Linked DNA regions of Oryzias latipes. The protein of the gene in region 2 purifies or fractionates together with the protein of the main gene of each other region. This does not show direct contact. Links are inferred from orthologs where the notes say so. Each region holds a gene or a part of one and is shown on either strand. Other genes may lie near its edges.

What was found.
Region 1: the proteins of u2af2 (region 2) and cpsf6 fractionate together in Homo sapiens (co-fractionation; 3 studies listed by BioGRID, with this or other methods). This does not show direct contact. The link is inferred for Oryzias latipes from reciprocal best matches to the Homo sapiens genes U2AF2 and CPSF6.

Annotation. Positions count from the first base shown.
Region 1 is NC_019881.2:14,388,291-14,398,761, forward strand, and holds the start of cpsf6 (cleavage and polyadenylation specificity factor subunit 6), read right to left. Parts: upstream 6,622-10,471; 5' UTR 6,571-6,621; coding exon 6,511-6,570; intron 3,752-6,510; coding exon 3,542-3,751; intron 3,427-3,541; coding exon 3,323-3,426; intron 2,064-3,322; coding exon 1,918-2,063; intron 1,799-1,917; coding exon 1,619-1,798; intron 1,491-1,618; coding exon 980-1,490; intron 900-979; coding exon 784-899; intron 710-783; coding exon 556-709; intron 471-555; coding exon 284-470; 3' UTR 272-283; intron 1-271. UniProt on the Homo sapiens protein: Component of the cleavage factor Im (CFIm) complex that functions as an activator of the pre-mRNA 3'-end cleavage and polyadenylation processing required for the maturation of pre-mRNA into functional mRNAs.
Region 2 is NC_019874.2:19,810,635-19,820,831, forward strand, and holds the start of u2af2 (splicing factor U2AF 65 kDa subunit), read right to left. Parts: upstream 5,532-10,197; 5' UTR 4,957-5,531; coding exon 4,908-4,956; intron 4,118-4,907; coding exon 3,949-4,117; intron 3,553-3,948; coding exon 3,517-3,552; intron 3,297-3,516; coding exon 3,193-3,296; intron 2,447-3,192; coding exon 2,295-2,446; intron 2,204-2,294; coding exon 2,087-2,203; intron 1,994-2,086; coding exon 1,837-1,993; intron 1,730-1,836; coding exon 1,641-1,729; intron 1,495-1,640; coding exon 1,372-1,494; intron 1,299-1,371; coding exon 1,212-1,298; intron 1,040-1,211; coding exon 791-1,039; intron 707-790; coding exon 572-706; 3' UTR 1-571. Other genes in the region: ccdc106 (coiled-coil domain-containing protein 106), read right to left, coding at 8,646-8,962, 9,063-9,230, 9,297-9,581, 9,753-9,809, 9,900-10,121, 10,197-10,197. UniProt on the Homo sapiens protein: Plays a role in pre-mRNA splicing and 3'-end processing. By recruiting PRPF19 and the PRP19C/Prp19 complex/NTC/Nineteen complex to the RNA polymerase II C-terminal domain (CTD), and thereby pre-mRNA, may couple transcription to splicing.

The DNA of each region.
Region 1 (10,471 bases), on a different chromosome or scaffold from region 2:
ACCTGACACCTACCTGAAAGTACCAAAGTGAGGTTTATGTCTCTTTCCAGCTTAACTCTCCTTTTCTTCATCAAATCATTTCTTAATCATTTATTTACTACCTAAAAACAACATAAGTTCAACCCAGTTGCTGCGCTTCAATTAAACCATAAGAACTGAAGAAGAGAGGAGGTGAGGAATTAGACTAACTTTTTTTTCTTTGATCCCTTGCGTTAGACTGATTAAACTCCAACACAAACTTGGAAGACTAAAGACAAAACCGTTAACTCACCTTCCTTCCTGGCTAACGGTGGCGATATTCCCTCTCCCGCTCCCTTTCCCTGTCGCGGTCACGGTCTCGTTCACGATGGCGATCACGCTCGCGGCTGCGCTCTCTATAATAATCTTCATGCCTGTCCCGACTGCGGGACTTGTGTCTCCGGCTCTTTTCTCTGGAGCGGCTATGGTCACGCTCTCTAGACCGCTCACGTCTGGGAGAAAAAAACAAAACCGTAACAAAATACTTTTTAAAATTCTTATCTTCAGCGAGTGATGGTTTTTATTTTTTAACATTACCTTGACGCTGAACCATAGCTTTTTGACTCAATGCCGTGGAGACAGTCCTGCAGAGAACTGATAAGAACCTTACAGCGGTCATCGGCTGAGACTTTGGATTGCTTAATCAGACTAATAGCTGTCACCAAAGTCTCTATTGCGCTGCCATAATCGGCTGAAAAGAAAAGACATGGTCTTAATAAATATGAATTTCTTTACTCGGTGAATAACTAAAAGCAGGAGTGTTACCTGCACTGGCATCTGATACAGCTCGAGATATTGCACTGGAGGAGATGGCTCTGTTCCTGTTCATGATCTCCTCGAACTCTGCTTCACTCAATGGAGTCCGTGATGAGTCCATGTCTCTACAAGGTGCCATTGAAAAAGGTTACATTTGCAACCCTTTGAAAAAACAAGCAAAACAATACAGTTGCCCTACTCTTACCGGCCTCCAGGACCGTAGTCTCTCTCGTATGGTGGTGGGCGTCCATAAGGGTCGTTTGGCCCGGGTGGCCCTCGGCTGTCGTTAGGGGGCAAGCTGTTGTTGCCAGGTGGGGGGAAGAAAGCAGGGTTCACATGAGGCGCAGGTGGAGGAGCACCTGGTGGGGGGCCCGGCAAATGTGGAGGTGGGGCCAAAGCCAATGGTGGTCCAATAGGGCCCGGAGGGCGAGGAGGAAAGGGTCCCGGAGGAGGTGGGCCTTGCTGAGGAGGTGGGGGGCCAGGAGGAGGACCATACCCTGGAGGAGGAGGGCCTGGGGGAAGAGGTCCCAGTGGAGGCTGACCAAACTGGCCAGGGAAGAGAACAGGAGGAGGAGGAGGTCTGTCTCCACGATTAGGAGGACCTGCGAGGGGTGGGGGTAGACCCTGGCCAGGAGGGGGTGGTCCTACGGGACCAGGGGGGCCAGGAGGACCAGGGGGAGGACGTGGAAGACCCTGCATTCCACCTATGAAAACAACAGTAGAGAGCAAAGCAAAAAAGACAAAAGTAAAGATCATTCCCATTTATATGCAGACACATAAAACTCCTATAATAGTTCCCTCTTCAGTTCAAACCAGCACAGATTTCTCACTAATAGAAACTAACCAGGAAAGTGGGGTGGTGGGCCTCCAGGGCCTATGGGGCCAGGAGGGAAACGATCTACTCCAGAACCAGGTGGACCAGGATACCTGCCTCGACCTCTGTTGCCCATTGAGAATCCGGAGCGATGGCCTGAACCAGGGGGACCAGCTTTACCTTCCCCTGACATCTGACCAGATTGAGTACCTAAATAAATAAATAAAAGGTTTCAAATGGCTCAAAATTCATCAAGTTGCAATATATTTTCATTTGTAGCAAATTAAATAGATTTGTGAAAATCGTAAGATGAAACTGGAAATACTTACTTTTGCGTGACTGCATCTCAAACTGGCTTAGGGATTGTTTATTGCACGGTGTGACTATAGGATTCTGACCATGAAGCTCTCTCTTGGACAACAGGTCCATCAGTTTCCTGGATGATCCCTCAGAACCAACACACACAAGAGCAAACCTGAAGGAAACCAGCACAAGACACCCTGTCATAAGTATGCAAAGCAAAAACATCCTAGTTATAAAATGTTGAACTCATGAGGCCACCAGGTTTTGTAGTTGTTCCACATTTGAATCATCATCCTCACAGTGAAGTTTTTTCACACAAACAACATCCACGCAGGCATCCTCTGATCCATACGTCATTGCAAATGCAAGGTTGAATACACTAAGCGCAGACGCTTTGTGCCATCAGAAAGACGCTACCAGCCCCGCTGTGTGCCAGGTCCCAGGCGGAGGACATTCTGCGCCTGCAGGACCGTTTATTGAGGCTGGGCAGGCATGCATGCGTCCTCCATTGAAAGCGAGACAGAAACGCCAACTCAGGCAGCAGTGTGTACAAGCACGCACTTCAATAGCCCTGCCCACAGAGCAGGGGCCGCCCTTCGCTCAGCCGTCAGTAAGCCTGCTGCGCTTTGGAAATGTCCTGCTATTACACAGTGTCAGCATAGCATGAAACGCGATCGTCGCTGCTATCTGTTTACATAATAAACCGCCTTATCTGTTCAAATTGTGTATTACTATAAAAATAATATTAATACACACAACAGAGCTATCTCCTCACAAAGATTTGTGTACTCTTACGGTGTAGCTTTTGAATAGACAGAAAATACTTTATTTACATTCATCCATCCATCCATCTAGGTAGATCTTTTGGAGCTTGTCTCAAAAGTAACTCGCATGCCAAAAAAGTGTGGGCACCCCTGGTGTAAGCTCAAACCGGAAATCATCAAACTATATAATGGTACGGTGGACAGTAAGCATCACCTTAAGGGTTTTGTGGTGGCACAACTTTAATTACTTCTGTTCAAATTGTCTTGAGTCTCGTCACAACTCTGAAAATGAATAAACTCTGCGCGGTTTAAACAAAATGCATACAATAAATTGCACATGACATGGATTCCTATACATATGAATGTATAATAAAATAAAAAATACTCTGACGTCAACACATAAATAACACACGCTCTCTTTGACATACCGTAACTCTTTGGCCATTTACGTGATCAAACCGAATCGGCTGATTCTGATCTGGAGAAAAGCAGGTTTTCATAGAGGATTTGCACCGATATGCAACACATCATTAATGTAAAGTGTTGCACATCAGCGTAAGGCTGCTTTTTCCACAGTTGAAGAGTCACGGTAATCCAAAGAACGTTAACATTGAAGCTAAAGCCTCGGTGTAAAGAGTTAAACACAAACAAAAACTACTGTCCTCACCCTTTTGACTGGCCATTAGCCCTGTTTTCAAAGAACTTTATCTCCAGCACATCTGTAATGCCTACTGAACGAATGGCTTCAGTCAGGTCTTCATCTGTTGTCCACTGTAAAAAAAGAACAATAATAAAAAGAGACAAATTATCAATACTACTTTCTTAGCATTTAGTCGAAATTGACAATGAAACTTCTAATTATTTAATTTGAATGGTTGAAACCCACCCATGTAAGGTTGCCGATGTACAAAGCAATCCGTTTGCCTGTATAGGTGTACACCACATTGGGTGGATTACTCTTCCCTCCGTCAGAACCGCCAGATGGAGGCATTGAATCCATGTAGTCCCTGTCTTCTGGAGCATCTCCATTATTGGCAGATGGGGATATCACATCATCGTACAAGTCAATCTGCTCGTGAACTGGATACTCCGATTCCTTTAAAAGAAAAATGAGTTAACACAGTTAAAGCAAAACATGTGGGGTTCAATTCCACAAGAACCTGAAACTGTGGCTCAACGTTTATAAAAACTGGGGATGTAGAAATGCATCTTTTAAGTGAAAGATATTATGGATGGATATTATTTTTAGTAATGTACAGGGGTGTAACGATTAATCAACGAATCGATTTATTTTCTTACGATTGAAACAGATGTATCTGTCTAATCTAAGGTAAGTTGCTTATCGAATTGGCAGTTTGCCACAACTGGGACGCAGAGGGAAAGACAGTGGCTGTGACAACATTAACCACTTGGATCTGTCGCCTCTTTGCATCTTTCGGGATTAAAAACAGTGACAATCTCTTCTCACAATGAGCTTTTGTCACCCCTATGGGGCCAAAAGGAAATGGTCCATTCAAGCAGCGCTGTTACTGTGACCCCAACCACTTTTATAGTTTCACATAGGGCTGCACGATATGAGGAAAACTCGCGATATGCGATATTGGTGATTAATATTGCGATAACGATATGATTCGCGGTATATAAACAAACAGCAAAACAACCAAAAACATAATTTCCATTTCACTGCAACAGTTTAAAAATTATACTCCAAATGACCCTTGTCGACATAGGAGGCAAACATCAAACATAAAAGGGCTCATCTGATTGATCAACAACGTAAATGGGTCCTTCCGATTGGTTAAATGCATAAAGGGATTTATTTCATTTGTTCAATATTTCAAGCTGCCACGAGATTGTTTTAGCACATTTAAGGTAACCATTTATTGCGATTTTCGCCGTCTTTTGTGGTATGCATATTGCACAGCTTAATGTCGCGATAACGATAAATTTGCGATATATTGTGCAGGCCTAGTTTCACACAATGTACGTTACTTTCTGCCTTTATGAACGGGTGATTTAAATGATTGTGCACTGCAGGCAAAAAAAACAAGTTTGCCACGGTGACGTAATGACCCTGTGTTTTGAAGCTGTTGGCGGTGAGATGACAGGTGGGGCAATACGATGAGCGCATGCATAAGCGGGAAACGCGCTAAAGGTTAATGAATGCACAGCCGGTTTTTTAATTATATTTAGGATGTCACAGCGACTGCCATTTATGAAGTTATAAGCTCAGTTTGTTGATAATACCAAATAAGGTCAGATTATACCCTGACTTTTTTATGTTCTGACAAATGTAAATGTGAAATGAGAAAAAGTTTTAAAATGAATAGTACAGCTGATCGCCACTCCATTTACTGGGGGTGAAAAAAAATGAAGAATGTCCAATTGTGGAAAATTTATATTACTATAATTAGCATTCTAAGGTCAAAGTAAAACATTTACTTTTACATGCAATAAAAACACCATGATAGATTTAATTTACATGACGTATACAGTATGATGTACCACAAATGCTGTACTTTTTGTTTCAAACTAACATAGTTTTAAGTTATTTAAGTTCACTTTTTAAGTTTGGCCTATTTTCCTTGTGCAATATTGTTATGAAAGAACGTCTTTGAGGTAATGCCAAAATGCCTGCTGTTGGGAATTAAATACATTTCTAGACATATTGAACTTTTTTACATTCTAAATTTCAAAATGGCACTTTATGTCACAAATGCTGTTGACCCCTAATCTATAGAAGTTTACTGCATATCACCAGACGCTTACTTAGCTCCCTGTTTTACTGGAAATTGCTGCAGCTATAATAAAACATGGAGACCAAATAGTGCTAGAGAGTTAGTCAACAAGAAGAAGCTGAAATAAAAGAAATTACACCAGAATTTAAAAGTAAAAATGGTTACTAGAAAAAGCAAATTACTATAATAAATTGATTTAAATTAATTAAATTCCAAAAGCATTTTTTTCTCTTTATTTTATGTCACGCTTTATGAGGAAAAAAAGAGTAGTAAACTTAAAGAAATGTTAAAAAAAACTAAAACATGACTAATAATTTTTAAGTCACTGGCTCTTAATTAAGTTTAGCTAAACAATTTTAATAAGAAACAAGGAAAAAAAACATTTATTTTTAAATGTTTAGCTCCGACAGTATAATACCATAACAAATTCTGTGCAAAACAAATGTCAGTAAGTTATGATTTTAGTATGCGGTCTAAAAAGGGGGGCGCGGTTTTTAATGTGCGCGCGCGCAAGAATAAAAAAAAACACCCACCATGCATGATGACCCAACCTGCTGCCAGAATGGAAGCCGTGTAACTCGTGTTTTCCCCTTTTGTTTTTATTTTTGACGTTTTTAAAAGTACACCAAGTTACATTTGATCCAAACTATAACCCACGTCCAATACAGTAAACCAATTAAACGTGTGAAGTTAACCAACACCAGCTAGCTTATCATGAAATGCGTGTTTGGTTAACAGCCTCCGTCGGGAGAAAAAAAAAAAAAGAAAGCACACACTGCGCGGCCTATACGCGCGCTCCACTGAAAAGGCTGCTAGACGCTTTGCTGATGGACAAAAATGTACATATTCTAAATAATAACCCACATCACATTTACCTCCACATGTGTACTACTGTTTGAATAAAAAATGCAGATCTATTGTACAGAAGTTTGCTATCTATGCTGCAACCAACGCAGCACACTGACTGACAGAGGCCTGTGTGTGTATTGCTAGTGGAGAAGCTAGCACGAGCATCAAATTACACCTATTTTTCCTATAACGCCGAAAAGACCATTGCAAAAATTAGAAAAAGAACTTCAAAGCACTGAACAAACTCGAGAATATTTTATTTTAATACCTGATTAAATTCCTCTTCTACGTCGGCGTAGATGTCGATATGATCCACACCGTCCGCCATTTTCCTCTGCTTCGTGCCTCCGTCCGCCTGGCGGTGCAGAGGATCGGAGCTACAAACAATAACTCCGGGAGATGCATCAGCGCCCCTGCTGGTCGTATTCACTAACTACAGCCTGCTCTGCTGGGAATGACGGATTCATTGATCATCTGCATTTCACTTTAAACATTCATACTACTGAATACGACATCTATAAAAAATATAAATTATTCTGTTATGTATTTTGTAATTACGCATTTAAAAGAGGAATTCAATATCTATTTATTTATTAATAAATGATTTTCACAACAATGGAAATGCAATTTCTAAAAGAACTCAAATAGATAGAATAGATCACGCTTTTTTCTACGTACAGCTGTGCACCTGCCATTACTGTTTTGTTGATTGAAAATTTCAGCAAATTTGACACAAATCGCTGGAAGAAATGGTCTTTTAATAAAAATTGTAACAATTCTTGACAACAAAGTTAAAAGTGAAAATAAAAAGCAAAGTTATGTGTAAAGAGAAGAGTGAAACATGATCTCCAACTATATAGTTTCCTGTGTATTAGGTATTGCTGTAATTATACTATAATATTTTTTTCAAATTAAAAATATAAATATTTTAAGACGCCCAAGTGGCTGGGATAGGCTCCAGCAGCCCCGTGACCCCGAAAGGGAATAAACGGTTAAGAAAATGAATTAATGAATGAATGAATATTTTAAGTACATTGACAAGACACAAAACATTCTATTTTGGTGTATTATTTGTAGACTCACATTTTACACTATATTAGACATTTTATCAATAATGTCATATAAATAAATTTAAATCTGGCTTTTGATCAACATTTGAATACTTACTCTGATGTAAAGGATACAATAATAACTATAACACATAGGATTTTACCTTAAAAAGTAATTTTGTAAAACTTTATTGGAAAATAAAGTTTTATTTTTTGAAATCATCTGTCATTCACAATCCAATTTGTTGAAACAACCACTGCTATCATACTATATCTTTATAAATTTACTGCTCATTTATATGAAACTATAAGTTTATAAATAATAGGTGAATAAAAGGAGACAAACAGAAATGACACACAGTCAAAGTAAATGTAATAAAAACAACTTTGTGGATCTTTTATTTTATAAATAATGGCTTTAATCCATGTAATACTTTCATAAGAACAATTTACAGGTTTGTTTTACAAAGGAAAAAAACAGAACAAAAGAACAAAATCACATTCCAAGTTTTAGCTCCTCCTAAAAAAAATCATAAACATTTCATATATATTAGATTTTACCTCTGTCAATAACACAACCAAAGACAACAACAACAAAAATAATAATTTCAGTCAGACCATTTTAAATGTTTTAGTTAAAAAGAATATAAAAAAGGTAACAAATATATTAGAAGTAAATCTTTTTAACATGCAAAAATGGAAGAAAAAAAGAAGTTTGAAAAAAAGAAGCGTTCAGTTAAATCAATATAAAAATACATTGTAATTTATTGGTAAATAAATCAACATTAACAAATGTTATTATCATTAGATAGATACCATTGTGATTCTTTTTTCTTTTAAAGTTGTTTACTTATTTTTTTCAGCAGAGCATTACAGATACTTAAAAAAAAACCTGAGGCAAAATGTTATGCAAAAGAAAAACTTTTTTTTGCTTTAACTTCAAGAACAATTTAATTACATGGTGAAAGTGCACAAGACAAAAAAAGGCAGAAAAACGTTTTAAAATTGTGGCAGGTAAAATGTAATTAGTCTTAAAACATGTAAAAATTAGGGATAAAAGTATGACCCTTCCAACTTTTAACTTAAATATTTCTGATACCACTCATATAAGACATTTCTGACTGGGCCTTCATCTAGTCTGCTTTGGTTGATTCATCAAACCCCTTTAAAAAATGCCCTGTGATACAATTTACCAACTCAAGTTTCTCTTCACGCTAACTATTTTTTCAAATGCAACATATAACAAAAACAGATGCAGTAATGTGGATCTTGAAGGCTGAAGTGCATATTTGCAAATGCGCTCTAGGCCTTGCCTGTGATCTTCAGATCAGAGGAAGATGGAGACGGACAACTGGAGATGTGTTGCACTCTTGCTCTAATTACTTATGCTGCAACTTGTGACTCACCATTCCTTTTAAAAACAGATGCTGTAACCTTCATCTTTTCAGTCCATTTTCAATCTGTGACTCAAAGGCGTGCAGGAGTGAGTTTGCTGGAAAGTGTCCATGGCAACAGCAATCCATTAACTTGCTTTACTCGGTTGTCATTCTTAAACTTACAAAATATAATGCTTCAGAAGTCCAAGACTTTTTTCCTTTTTTTTAATGAGAGCAAGAAGACTTAAAAACGTTGTAAGAAAGTTGTCCATCATCAGGAAATTGATCCAGCAATGGAAAGACATAGCAGGAGGAGGACATATGACAGTGAAATGACAGATGCCCCTCCACAGTCGTCTGCATTCTCCTGCAGGACCCAAGCAGAGACACAATTTGATTAGAACTTATTGCAGGTTATTACTCAAATCAACAAGTTGCTATTTAATACTTTACAAATAACATATAGACAAAAATAAAAAGATAAGCACGAGGATATAACGAGTGGAAAGCTTACCTGCGGATGATAAGAATGACAGGACTCAGGGCGTCTGCGAATCTTCTGAGACCTCATTCTGTCACACTTCACTGATGCATTATGTTGAACAGGGTCAAGGGGAACAAAAAACCAATAGCGTCTAGAATTGGGCATTATATAATACACATTTTTGGGTCATAGTAAAAACGTAGAGGATGTAAGAAAAATCCATATTCTTCCTGAGATCAATTGATTTTTAAAAATGTATTTAGATTTTTCATAATGTATATTAGATACCCAAATCAAAGGATATATTTGACTTCTTTGGGCTCCAGGGTTATGGGCGGGTACTGCCTGGAGCAGTCACAGTCTGCTTGCACAACCAACATCAACAGGTTGCTCTCTGGGATCTGTTGCACTACAAACATTCTGACACAAACAGAATAAGTGCTCTTAAACAGCATAGAATAAATAAACTTTATTGTGCGTGTCTTTAGACTTAAGGGTCAATGATGACTGAAATACCATATTTTTCCACAAGAGGGCGGTCATACTCAACACAATATTTATGACCAGTATGCTTTTCCTATCCACTTCCATTTGAATCCAGTTATTTTCTCTTTTTTTCTGCTCCTTAAAATTTACCTACTACTCTGTCTCCCATTCTCCCAATTTCTCAATAACCCAACACTTACCTTTCTCTTGATAAAACATTCAAACAAACAAACACTGCTCAAATAAAGCAGAGGCACTGAAAATGTGTTTTAAAAATATAATTTAATGCGGCTTGCAGAGGGCCATTTAACTTTTTTGATGTTCATAAAGTGTACACAAGTGTGTGCTTACTTCTGGCATCGTCCACACTTGATAATGCTGTTGGTCTCTTTGACTGACGGCTCATAAATGAAGCTGGGGTACTCAGTGTCACATGGCTGCAGGATGTCCACTTTTTTCTTATGAACATAGGCTAATGGAGAAACAGACAGGGTCACATCTTTGGGTTGGAATATTGAAGAAAGTCAAAATGTTGGTGAAGCTATTTGTTTGTGGCTGACAGGAGAATGAGAGCTGGTGTCTAAAAGCTAACACTCAAGCTATTAATTGGTACTTAGCTTGCAGCATGTTCCAAACAAGAGTGAATGTGGTGTGTGTTTACAGGTGAAATAATGGGGCTGGAATTTGGCAGGAAAGATATAATGGCTCATTAAAATGTAAGATGTCTGGCTGTGATTTATGGTGTTTTGTTTAACAGCTTAATTGTCATTTAACCACCCATTTTCTTCACTTTTTCAAGGTCAAGGTGGGGCTGGAGCCTTTTCCAAATGTCAT
Region 2 (10,197 bases):
GTCGAATGAAAATCCTCTTCCTCTTCATCTCCCCTACATCTTCCTTTCAGAAACACACACTTCTGTTTTTTAGGTTTTGTTCCACATCCTTCTTGGCCTGAATCATCCAGTACTTTTTCTACAGCAGCTCCCTAACGTTCTTAAAACAGGCTACCTCCATTTAAATACAAACCCTAAAGAGTTGCCCCCCACCCCCCACCCTCAATGACATCCTTGTCTCAAAGTATAAAAAAGAAAAAAAATCAGCTCCCTCCTGGCCAAAGTAATACACACGTTTCTGAGAAATCTTCCCTCCCCACCCGGTTACATGACTACCATCCGGATCTATGCATTTCATTTAAACTGGAACCTCCTCCTCCAGATCAAACATTTTACTGCTGGACACATCCCATAGATCTCAAATAATAATCCGGATATTACCAAAGCCGTTTTTCAAAGGGATGAATAATCCAAGATCTACAAGAAATGTTGTTCCAACAAATCAATTTCAGGGCTGCTTTCGAAACGGGTAATACACATGACGTCCCCTTACCTCCCTCCCCACCCCCTGCTCCTCTTCTCAATGCCTTCTCTACCAGAAGTCCCGGCGGTGATAAGCATCTGGATCGCAGTATTTGGTCACCACCACCCTATTGGCAAACTTCCTCCCTGTGAGCCCCTGCATGGCCTTTTGGGCGTCGAAAACCGACGTGAATTCCACAAAGATCTGTCAAAACAATAGAAACAAAAGAAATGTGAAGATGGGGGCACACGACTGTTTCAAAGATGTTTCTTTTGAGCGACTGCTTACCTTGCCGGTTCCAGGAACTTCCAGGCCGTCCACAGGACGGGGGATCTCAATGCTCTTCACCTGGCCATACTTGCCACACTCCTCCCTCACGTCTTCCACGATCTCCTCATACTCCTCATCGTCCAGGAGCTCTTCAGGGGCCACCATGTTCATCAGACATAGCACCTCAGTGGGGAGGCCCCCCATCTGAGTCACGGAGCTGTTCAGACCTGGTACCTGCAGCGTCACTGGGGTCTGGTTTATACTTGTCTGAAATACGAAGCAAAGGTTTACGTGAAATGTTGGATTTAATTTAAAACAAAGAAAACGCTGAAATATATTTGATGTTCATTCAGGTAACACGTTAAAAAAATATTAAAATAAGCAGTAAAAAACTGTTAAAGTTAAAAAAATCTGCTCGGCAGAGCAGCTGGATCCTCACCAGAGTAGCGTTCTTGGATCCCACACTGGCTCTCTGCACCAGCAGCTTCTTGTCTCCAAGCTGCATGCCATTCAGGCCAGCAATAGCCTACAACAACATCAGAGCTTAAGCGGGCAATTCAGAGCAAGCGAGGGGACAATTTTCTGTGGAGACTTTCTACCTGGTCATTCAAGTTGACGTCAACGTATTCGCAAAAAGCGTATCCTTTGGAGAGGCCTGTGGCGCTGTCTTTTACCAGATTGAAGGCCTTCAGAGGCCCGAATGATGTCAACAGCTCCTTCACCTAAAACACAATACACCAACATTTTAGACAAACTATTTACTTTTACATTACAGCTAAGAAAAGCAACAATCCTTCTATTAATACCATTATTTTTTTAAAAAAAACTAGTGTAAGAACTGTTTCTTCCAAAAATGAGACACACCGACCTGGTCATCATTCAGGTAGTTGGGCAAACCCCCAATGAAGAGCTTATGAGCCGAGTCTGGTACCACAGTCGACACCACACCTAGACGATCCATAATAGCAAAAACAAGGGCAATCAAAATTCACAAAAAGTAAACTCTCAAGGAGTAACTTTGTGATAATTTTGAAATTTTGCCACAAAAATTTAGAGTTAAAAACCATTAATTGTCTGTGTACCAGGCACATAGACACTGGGGTTCTCGCTCATGCCAGGCAAGGGCTGGTAATCGTGTGGACGACGGATTTTCAGACTCTGGCCTTGAAAGATGATGCCATCAAAGGCCATTGCCTGTGTAGTTTCATCAACTGAACGAAACTGCAAAGAAACCAACGTCAATGAGATACGCAAGCGTGCAATTAAAAGAGTGTGTAGAGGCATAGTTGAAAGTATCAAGGGCTCATTTCTAACCTCAAGAAAGGCAAAATTCTTATCCTGGTTGATCTGTACTGCAAGAACAGGGTTGCCAGGGGCTTGGGTGAGACCACCCAAGCGCATTTGAGCATTGAAGAAATCCATCATGGACTCCTAAACAGAGAGAGATAAGATTTAAACACTCATTTTTGGTTTGAATGTGAATTTAGTTTGGAAACATTCCGCTATTTTTTCCATGGCTTACCTCTGTGATACCAAAGGGGATGTTACCCACATAAAGCCGGCGGGCCTGCCGGGTCATCTGGCTCCCCACTACAGGCACAGGAGTGGGAGTAACAGCCAGTCCATCTGGAGTCATGGTTGGCAGGAGAGCTGTGGCTGGAATCTGGCCTGCGGCTGCACAGAGATGACACACTTTAAGGCCCGTACACACCGGGACGAATATTCGCCAGGCGTTATTCGCCAGCGTTTTTCGCCACGTTTTTTGTGTTCACACCCAGGCGATTTTCGCTGACGATGAGTGGAGTGAACATGCAATTTCATTCCCTGACATTAGATGGCGCTTAATGTAAAACAGAAATACTCCTGTACACAAGGTGGCGCTGCGCAACTTTACGCTTCTTAAAGTCGCTTTTCACTCAGAAGAAGAGAGCAAGTATTTACACGCTTGTCAGAATCAAACAAAGAAAACATGAATATTTCAAGCACCAGTAGCTCCAACTGGTGCTTGGTTCGGGGATATTTTAGAATGTCCGTCATTATTGCTTCGCGGCTGTGTAGACGCTACTTGGCGTCTATCTTCTTCGCTGGTATGTGTGCTCAGCAAGGCAGTTTTGTGTTTGAGCGCCCCCAAGTTGTGTTTTACTGTAACTTCAGAAGCTCCAGACACGTGAGCAAAAGTGCCATTCTCATTGGTCGAGTAGATTTCGACGCGACGCGTCGCGTCGAAAAAAAAACGAACCCGAGGCGTTTTTTTTTTTACGCTTTAACGCGTGCACGTTTTTTCGTGCCCTTTGTTTAGTCACGAGGCGTTAAACGTCGGCGAAAATCGCCGGCGAAATTCGTCCCGGTGTGAACAGGCCTTTAGCATGTTATGTGTACACATTTGTGAATTAAATACACTGGAAACAGATAAGAGTTACCTTGCATGGCTTTGTACTGCATGGGAGTGATATGCTCAAAACCAGGAGGAGGAACATCCCAATACTTCTTGATCTTCTTCTTCTTTTCACGATGGGGAGATCGGCTGTAAGAGGGAAGAAAAAAAAATAAACATTAGGAGAAAATGAACTTTTTTTTAAAGAAGGTTGCATCGATTTCAACATAGTAAAAGTGACAAAAAAGACAGAAAAATGGACAATACCCAAAAACAAATTACTTGAACATGTGTAAATTGTCTTTAAAGTGATAGGAGTGTCAATGTACAGTTTCTGCAACTGCCAGCTTTGTGTTAAGTTTTCTGTTACCTTGCAGTATTTTCTTGAGGGTAGGCGGGTGGCGAGCTGAAATGACAAATTGGAGGAAGAGATTTAGATTTCTTATATGAATCAAACAAACTTTTTGAGTTATGATTCATAAATAAAATAAAAAACACTGCATTTCCAGTCACACTTGAATATCAATGCACTTCAAAACAAACAAGTGAGAATTCTCTTCTAATTTCAAAAGAAGTAGGGAAAAAAAAACGAATAAATCAAATGAAATCAAAAGCTCATCAGAACAAACATACATAACTGGTGCATTTGTGTGAACAATGTAATGATGCATGTAGACTGCAGACATTACAATAAAGTTAATAAAGAGACTTAACGTTGCCATGTTATTGCTGGACAGTTGATAAGAGATTTTACACATAACAGCTTGTTTTTAAACAGGAGGATTGGTGTAGATGTACTGACTTGCGCCGGTGTCTCCGCTCCTTACTGTCCCCACGGCGGTCCCTGCTGCGTCTTTCCCCGCCATCCCTGCTCCTCTTCTTCCTCTCTCTGCTGCGGCTGCGGGATGAAGAACGACGATGGTGCCGGTTTTCTTTGTCCCTTTCTGTGGCAAAAGAGCGGTGCTCAGTAACTATGAAGTATAAAAGTATAAAGTGTTTTTCATTAAAACAAAAATCTTCTTAAAAAACATAACCCCAGAAATATTGTTCATAAAAGCAAATTAAAGCGAGCTGAATTTAGACATGTTCTCGATGTTTAATTTTAATTTTCATAAATGGTCTTACAGGTATGAACACAAAGTGAAAAGATAAATCAAGTAGTAATCAAGTAGAAGGAAAATGTGCATAAATGAGGTTATTTCTCTTAAAAGTACATTTTTATGTTAATCATGCTACAAGACGATGCATCTGCAGATAGGTGGGAAAAAAAGGAAGATAAAAGAGGAGAGTACAGGAAACCAGCTATATTAAAGAAGCAAGAATTTGTATCAGTAGCATAAACACAATATGAAACTGAAAGGACTATTGCAAAAACTGCAGTAGAGAATGTATAAAGATAAACAGTTGAACTTGTAAAAAGGAACTATCGAGCACGAGCGGCTGAATGATAATTCAATGACAGAAAGCACCGCTTAAATATTATTACACGCCACATGAATCGGACATGCCATAATAATACCACGATGGAGTTCAAGATAATACAAAATTGAAAACATTTTAATGTTAATAGCATTATACAACAGTACCGAAAGCCAGATTACAGGAAAACATCGATAAACTTGTAAAGCTGCGTTGTACATTTAGAGGCTATTTGATCATAGGCCAGTTAAACAGACACGTCCGCGACGTGCTAACCATAGAGATAAAAATGACATGTACCTCTTTTGCAATCATTGTTAATTGTGTAACTAGTCCATTTACCTTGATGGTTCTCAGACAGTTGTCTTTCAAATTCGTCGAAATCCGACATCTCTGGATAGAAACCTACTACGCTTTCGAAGACTGCGTTGTTCGGTTGGCGGAGGCTAGCTTAAGCTAGCAAGAAAGTGAGCACTTTGAGATTCAAGCGCTTCAATGATAGCGCTTCGGAAAGTTAACCTCGGTTAGCAAAAACACGGCTCAAAAACAAACCTATCAAACGATAGGTGGTATCACACACATTAGTGACGTGGTATTTGCTCAAATGTAACACATACAAATACGGAAAAAGGAAAAACGTGCTCGCTTAAGTTAGCCCGCTAACGCCAGCTAACTAGCTTGTAGCAAAGTCCAGAAGAAAGGCCTGCTGCTCCACACCGCCGAGGAGGCTCAGCTGCTAGCTAGGCTACGAAATCCGAATAAATGAGACTATTTTCGAAGCCCAAAGCGAATCCAGCTTAGTCACAGGCCCACAATATGTGTTTATGTGACGCAATAATCCAAATCTTTACGCCTTCTGCTGTTTTAAGTCTACAAAAACAGCAAAGATTTTGTTGTGCCCGCTTTTTTGCTCCGACTCCCAGATACCCCGTGACATCGGAAGTTGATGAACGCTGCGTTTCCGGTAGAAGAACGTCGTGTGGTTCTGGCTTGTGTTTGGAGCTGCATGGAGACAATTCTGTGATTGAATTCTGATTAAAACAACAGAACACCTGCATGTGACTTTCTCTGTAATGGTTATTGGGAGAATATTTCTAAATGTATGAACTTAAAAACGACGTGTTTCAGTTAAAAATACATGTTAATATAGTTAAATATCCAAAACTTACTGTAGATTTTAAATGTTATGCTTAAAGCTTTTGTGTTTCAATCAACGGTCATTTACACAATTTAATTAAACAACTACAAACTGGATTTTAGTGATAGATCCTTAAGAAAGATCAACACAAAACTCAGCCCTAAGCACTGCGGATAGATTCAGAAGAATTGTCAGCATCCTGCTGTATACTTTGAATGATTTACGGTTCATCAAGCAATAGCCCATTTTTTACACACAGACAGGCAGGACAGATCATGTTTAGATGAGCTCTATCAGGCCCTGTTATGCAAAATATTAATTTCTTAGAGTTCGTCTTTCTAGTAGGGATGTAACGATTCATGGTGTTTATTCATATCATAATTCATGTTTGCTGATATGATTCATAGTTAATATTGGTTCATTTTGAATGATCTGAGTTGATCCGATTCACTGGCCTAAACTCGATCGAGGACATCTTTAGCCAAAAATTCAACCAGTGATACTTAGAGATAAACACCTGGAGACTGAACGGTGCAGGTGAAGTTTTCCAGATTCCTTCTATTTCTTGCAAGATAATCAAGTGTAAAAACAAACAAACAAGTAAACAAGAATTAATGGAAAATCCATTCACATTTTATTTTCATAAAGTTCATCCCACTAATGTTTTTCCACATCAAAATAATCCAAAGGGAACATTTTTAGAACATTCTGCCACGCTGTATGGTCACATGTCTTTGCATAATTCAAAGTGTTTCGTCACATTGAACTGTAATGATGGATTGATCATTTTTTGCTGCCATCCTGTGTGAGTGTTGTCTGCTGTGATGGCAGTTGGTCGTTTTGGCGTTATAGTAAATTAAACGTATTCACTCCTTTACCAACAACATTTCATAAATGTCAAATAATAAGCTGTCAGTGCTTTGCAATTCCTATTTTGTTGTCTTTTTACATACAGGTGACGATGTGTCTATTGCCAACTTCTCATCAAAAAATATCAGCAGTAGCTCCCTCCAAGGCAAACACCTAAACTTCATTATTGAAGGAAACGCAAGGAAAACAACTTTTCTGCCTTTTTTTTTTGTTGTGAACGGCGTGCTGCCGCCTGGTATCACTGTCTTATATGGGATGCAGAGTGACAGAAAATTCTGCACAAAGGACTGCAGTGTGCAGTTTGCACCCATATCTTCATCAGCAGACAGGACAGGGCTGTTTATTTTCTTGCATACCATTGTGTGTTTTGGGCTTTTTGTGACATTTACTTAGTTCTTGTCAGGTTCTGTTTTGACCTATTTTCTCCTGTCTGTAGCATCAGGTTCAGGCTGAAGATCCACAGCTGTCTTCAGTTGGCTTTTGAATGTTTAGTTTTTAGTTCTTTACTGTTGGGTCATCTGCTCTGCTCTGTCACATTTTAGAGTTTCCAATGGGTTTTTGTCACGATTTATTACATTTTCAAGTTTCTGCTATGGTTCATATTGGGTCATATACCACCATTTCCAGACGAAAATAACTTTGACTTTTGATCATACAATCACAAGCAGAAATGTGTAGAAGATTGTGGTGAGAGGAGACATGTCAGTTTAGAGACAGTGATTCTGCCAGGAGCCAGAGATGGAAGTAGCAAAGAGGAAATTGATGGGGTCAGGAATGAGTCCAGTAGATGAACAGCTAATGCTAGATGGTTTGGAGATAAATGCAAGGAAGCAGATTGAGATGGTTTGGACACATTCAATGATCATGTTGATAAAAGAATGCTAAGGTTAAAGCTACCAGAAGGGGTCCAGAGGAAGGCTTGTGGCTGTAGGAGGACAACCAAGTGGTTGATGTGAGTGAGGAAGATGCAGAGGACAGGGTTAGATGGTGAAGGACGATTCACTGAGGCCAAATTGACGAAGAAAAGCCAAAGTTTATTTTGTTTCCAGATATCTTAATACTGCTTATGTATATTCCATTCAATCTTCATAATACCATATGGTTTATTTTCTAATCACAAATTAAGGCAAGAACTGGATAGGCTGCAAAGCATGCATGTGTTGTGGAGCATCAGAAAGAAGAAATATGTTCTTTGTGAGTCAATTCCATCTGTTTTGCTGTTTTTCTAACTGTAAAGTTGTTTGTACGATGACAACAAATGTTCACAGCCAGCCAAAAGTCACACAAGTCTTACAAATACCTGAAACAGTAATAAATAGTGTCAATGCCGAGATTCACATTATACAAAATATGCAATTACCACAATGCAATGTATTTTAAGCATACAATGTGCCATCTATTGCAATCCAGTTTGTCAATGTACATAAATTACTGGGTATACCTAAAGTGGAACTAATGATCAATGTCGAAATTCTTTTACGTCCCAGCCAAAAAAATAAAAACAAAAGAAAAGTCTGTTGGTTGTCATATTACTTTAAAGAAAAATCCAGCCGTACAGTTTTGAGCCTGATGCCAGCTCAGACCAGGAAAACGGAGACTTACATGAATTTATTTGTCTCCAAGTGAGTGCATCAGAATAAAGTGCCCAGCATATTTTCTATGTAACAAATACATTCTTTTCAAACTGCATTTTTTTGTCTGCTCCTGATTCACAACAATCTAAATAAAGAAGTACTCAGAAATTCAATTTTAAGCTTCATTGTCTCAATATATGTCCTTCATCATTCAAAAAATTGCCACTAGAACATGTTATATTCAACAAAAACATAATTTTCCTCTGGGTGAGTCTTAAAGTTAAGACAAAATGGAGATGTAGAATGTCGTATGTTCAAGTCATTGCTTCTTTTTAACAGCAGGCATGTGTCAGTAGAGTGACGATGAACTTGATCAAACTTTTAGGTCATATTTTCCGTGTTTGGAAAGAACAGCATCACAGCAGCAGTTTATAATCACACGTGCACAGCAGCACACGTTTCTTACTGAGCTCTTCTTTACATCTGCCTTGCTTTTTTTCATTGTCTGAATCTGTAGGAAATGGGCAGAAGAAGGTTGTTCTTTTTTAAGGCTTGCACTCTGCTCAGTGTCTCTTCATCCAGAGCTATGTAGCAGCGCCTGGCATAGTCCAGCAGCTTCTCTTTGGATGGGTCAAACTCTCCAACCTCAGCCACTTTCTCTGGAGCAACTAGAAGCAGCTCAGCAATGGGGGTGGTAGAAGCCACTGTGTTGCGGTCAACTCCATGGATCTGGAAGGCTTTGGACATATTCTTGAGATGCTGGTACGTAAGGAGAATCTTCTTATAGCGAAACAGCACTCCAGCAACATCTTTCACTGAAGAAGAAAAATATATCTTTTAGCTTGCAACAGTTAAGACTTAAAACTGTAAACTCTTTGAGTCTTATTGCAGAATCTTTTTGATCCTTTCTTTTACCCCTCTGGCGTTCTCTTGGAACTCGGAAGATCTGTCGTATCTTCAGCTGATGCTGGCTGGGGTTTATTGTGTCTGACAAAACATCTTCCCCTGGTATTAATTCCTCTTCCTCCATGTAGCCGTCCGGTTCCAGGTATTCGTCTGACTCTCCAATAAACGAGAGGGAATCTGACAAGAGAAAATCCTTGTAAAACATCTAAAAAGACCAAGTTAATAGGTTTAATTTTGTATTACCTGGACCATTGTGTGCGTTTATGTCGTTCACAGACGATCGCGCAGCGCTGCCACTGGCTGTGGTACTGGCTGTGGTACTGGCTGTAGTACTGGCTGTAGTACTGGCTGTGGTACCGGAAGCACTGTGGCCTTGTAGAAGAGACTGCGATTGTGCAGAGTTGAATAACACATTCATGGAGGCCAGTTGAGTGCTTATTGGACTAGAAACATGGCTTTTGGAGGACAACATAGCAGCAGGACCTGACCTTCGAGGCATAAACTGACGTTGAGGGAAATGTGACGACTCTGTTTTTTGTTGTTCAATAGAGAAAAAAGGAAAAACTGTTATGTAGCGGAGAGTTTACAGGTTAAGATGTAACACATACACAAATATAGCAATCTATGTTACAGCTTTTTTTTTAAATAAATCAATATTGTGTAAGACTTTTTTCTTTTCTTTTTTTCTTTGTTTTTTACCACTGGGGCGATATCCCTCTCTTCTTAACTTCCAGTTAAATCGTCTAGATTCATAGCCTGTAGAGAGAGAACAAAAAATGGTAACATTAAATTTCCATGCAAGTTTCTTGTCAAAGCACTGATAGTCAGTCATGTCCCTCTCCTCACCATTACTATACTGGCTCCGGCACTGCTCTTGTCCCTGGCTCTTTGTAGAAAAGATGAAGCGGTCCAGCTGGCAACGCAGGAAGTCCCTCTCCTCCTCCAAATCTTCTATTCTTTTTTGCAGCCAAGAGTTTTTCTCCAGGGAGATCTGGAGTTGGGTTCGCAAGTTAGTTATCATCATGTATGAGTTGGTGGCTGGAGATGGACCAGGATTTGACGGTGACTCTAGGCACAAAAAGACAATACAATTAGGAAAGAGAAATCACGAGCGAAAAGTAATTTACAGTACTGATCTTTTACC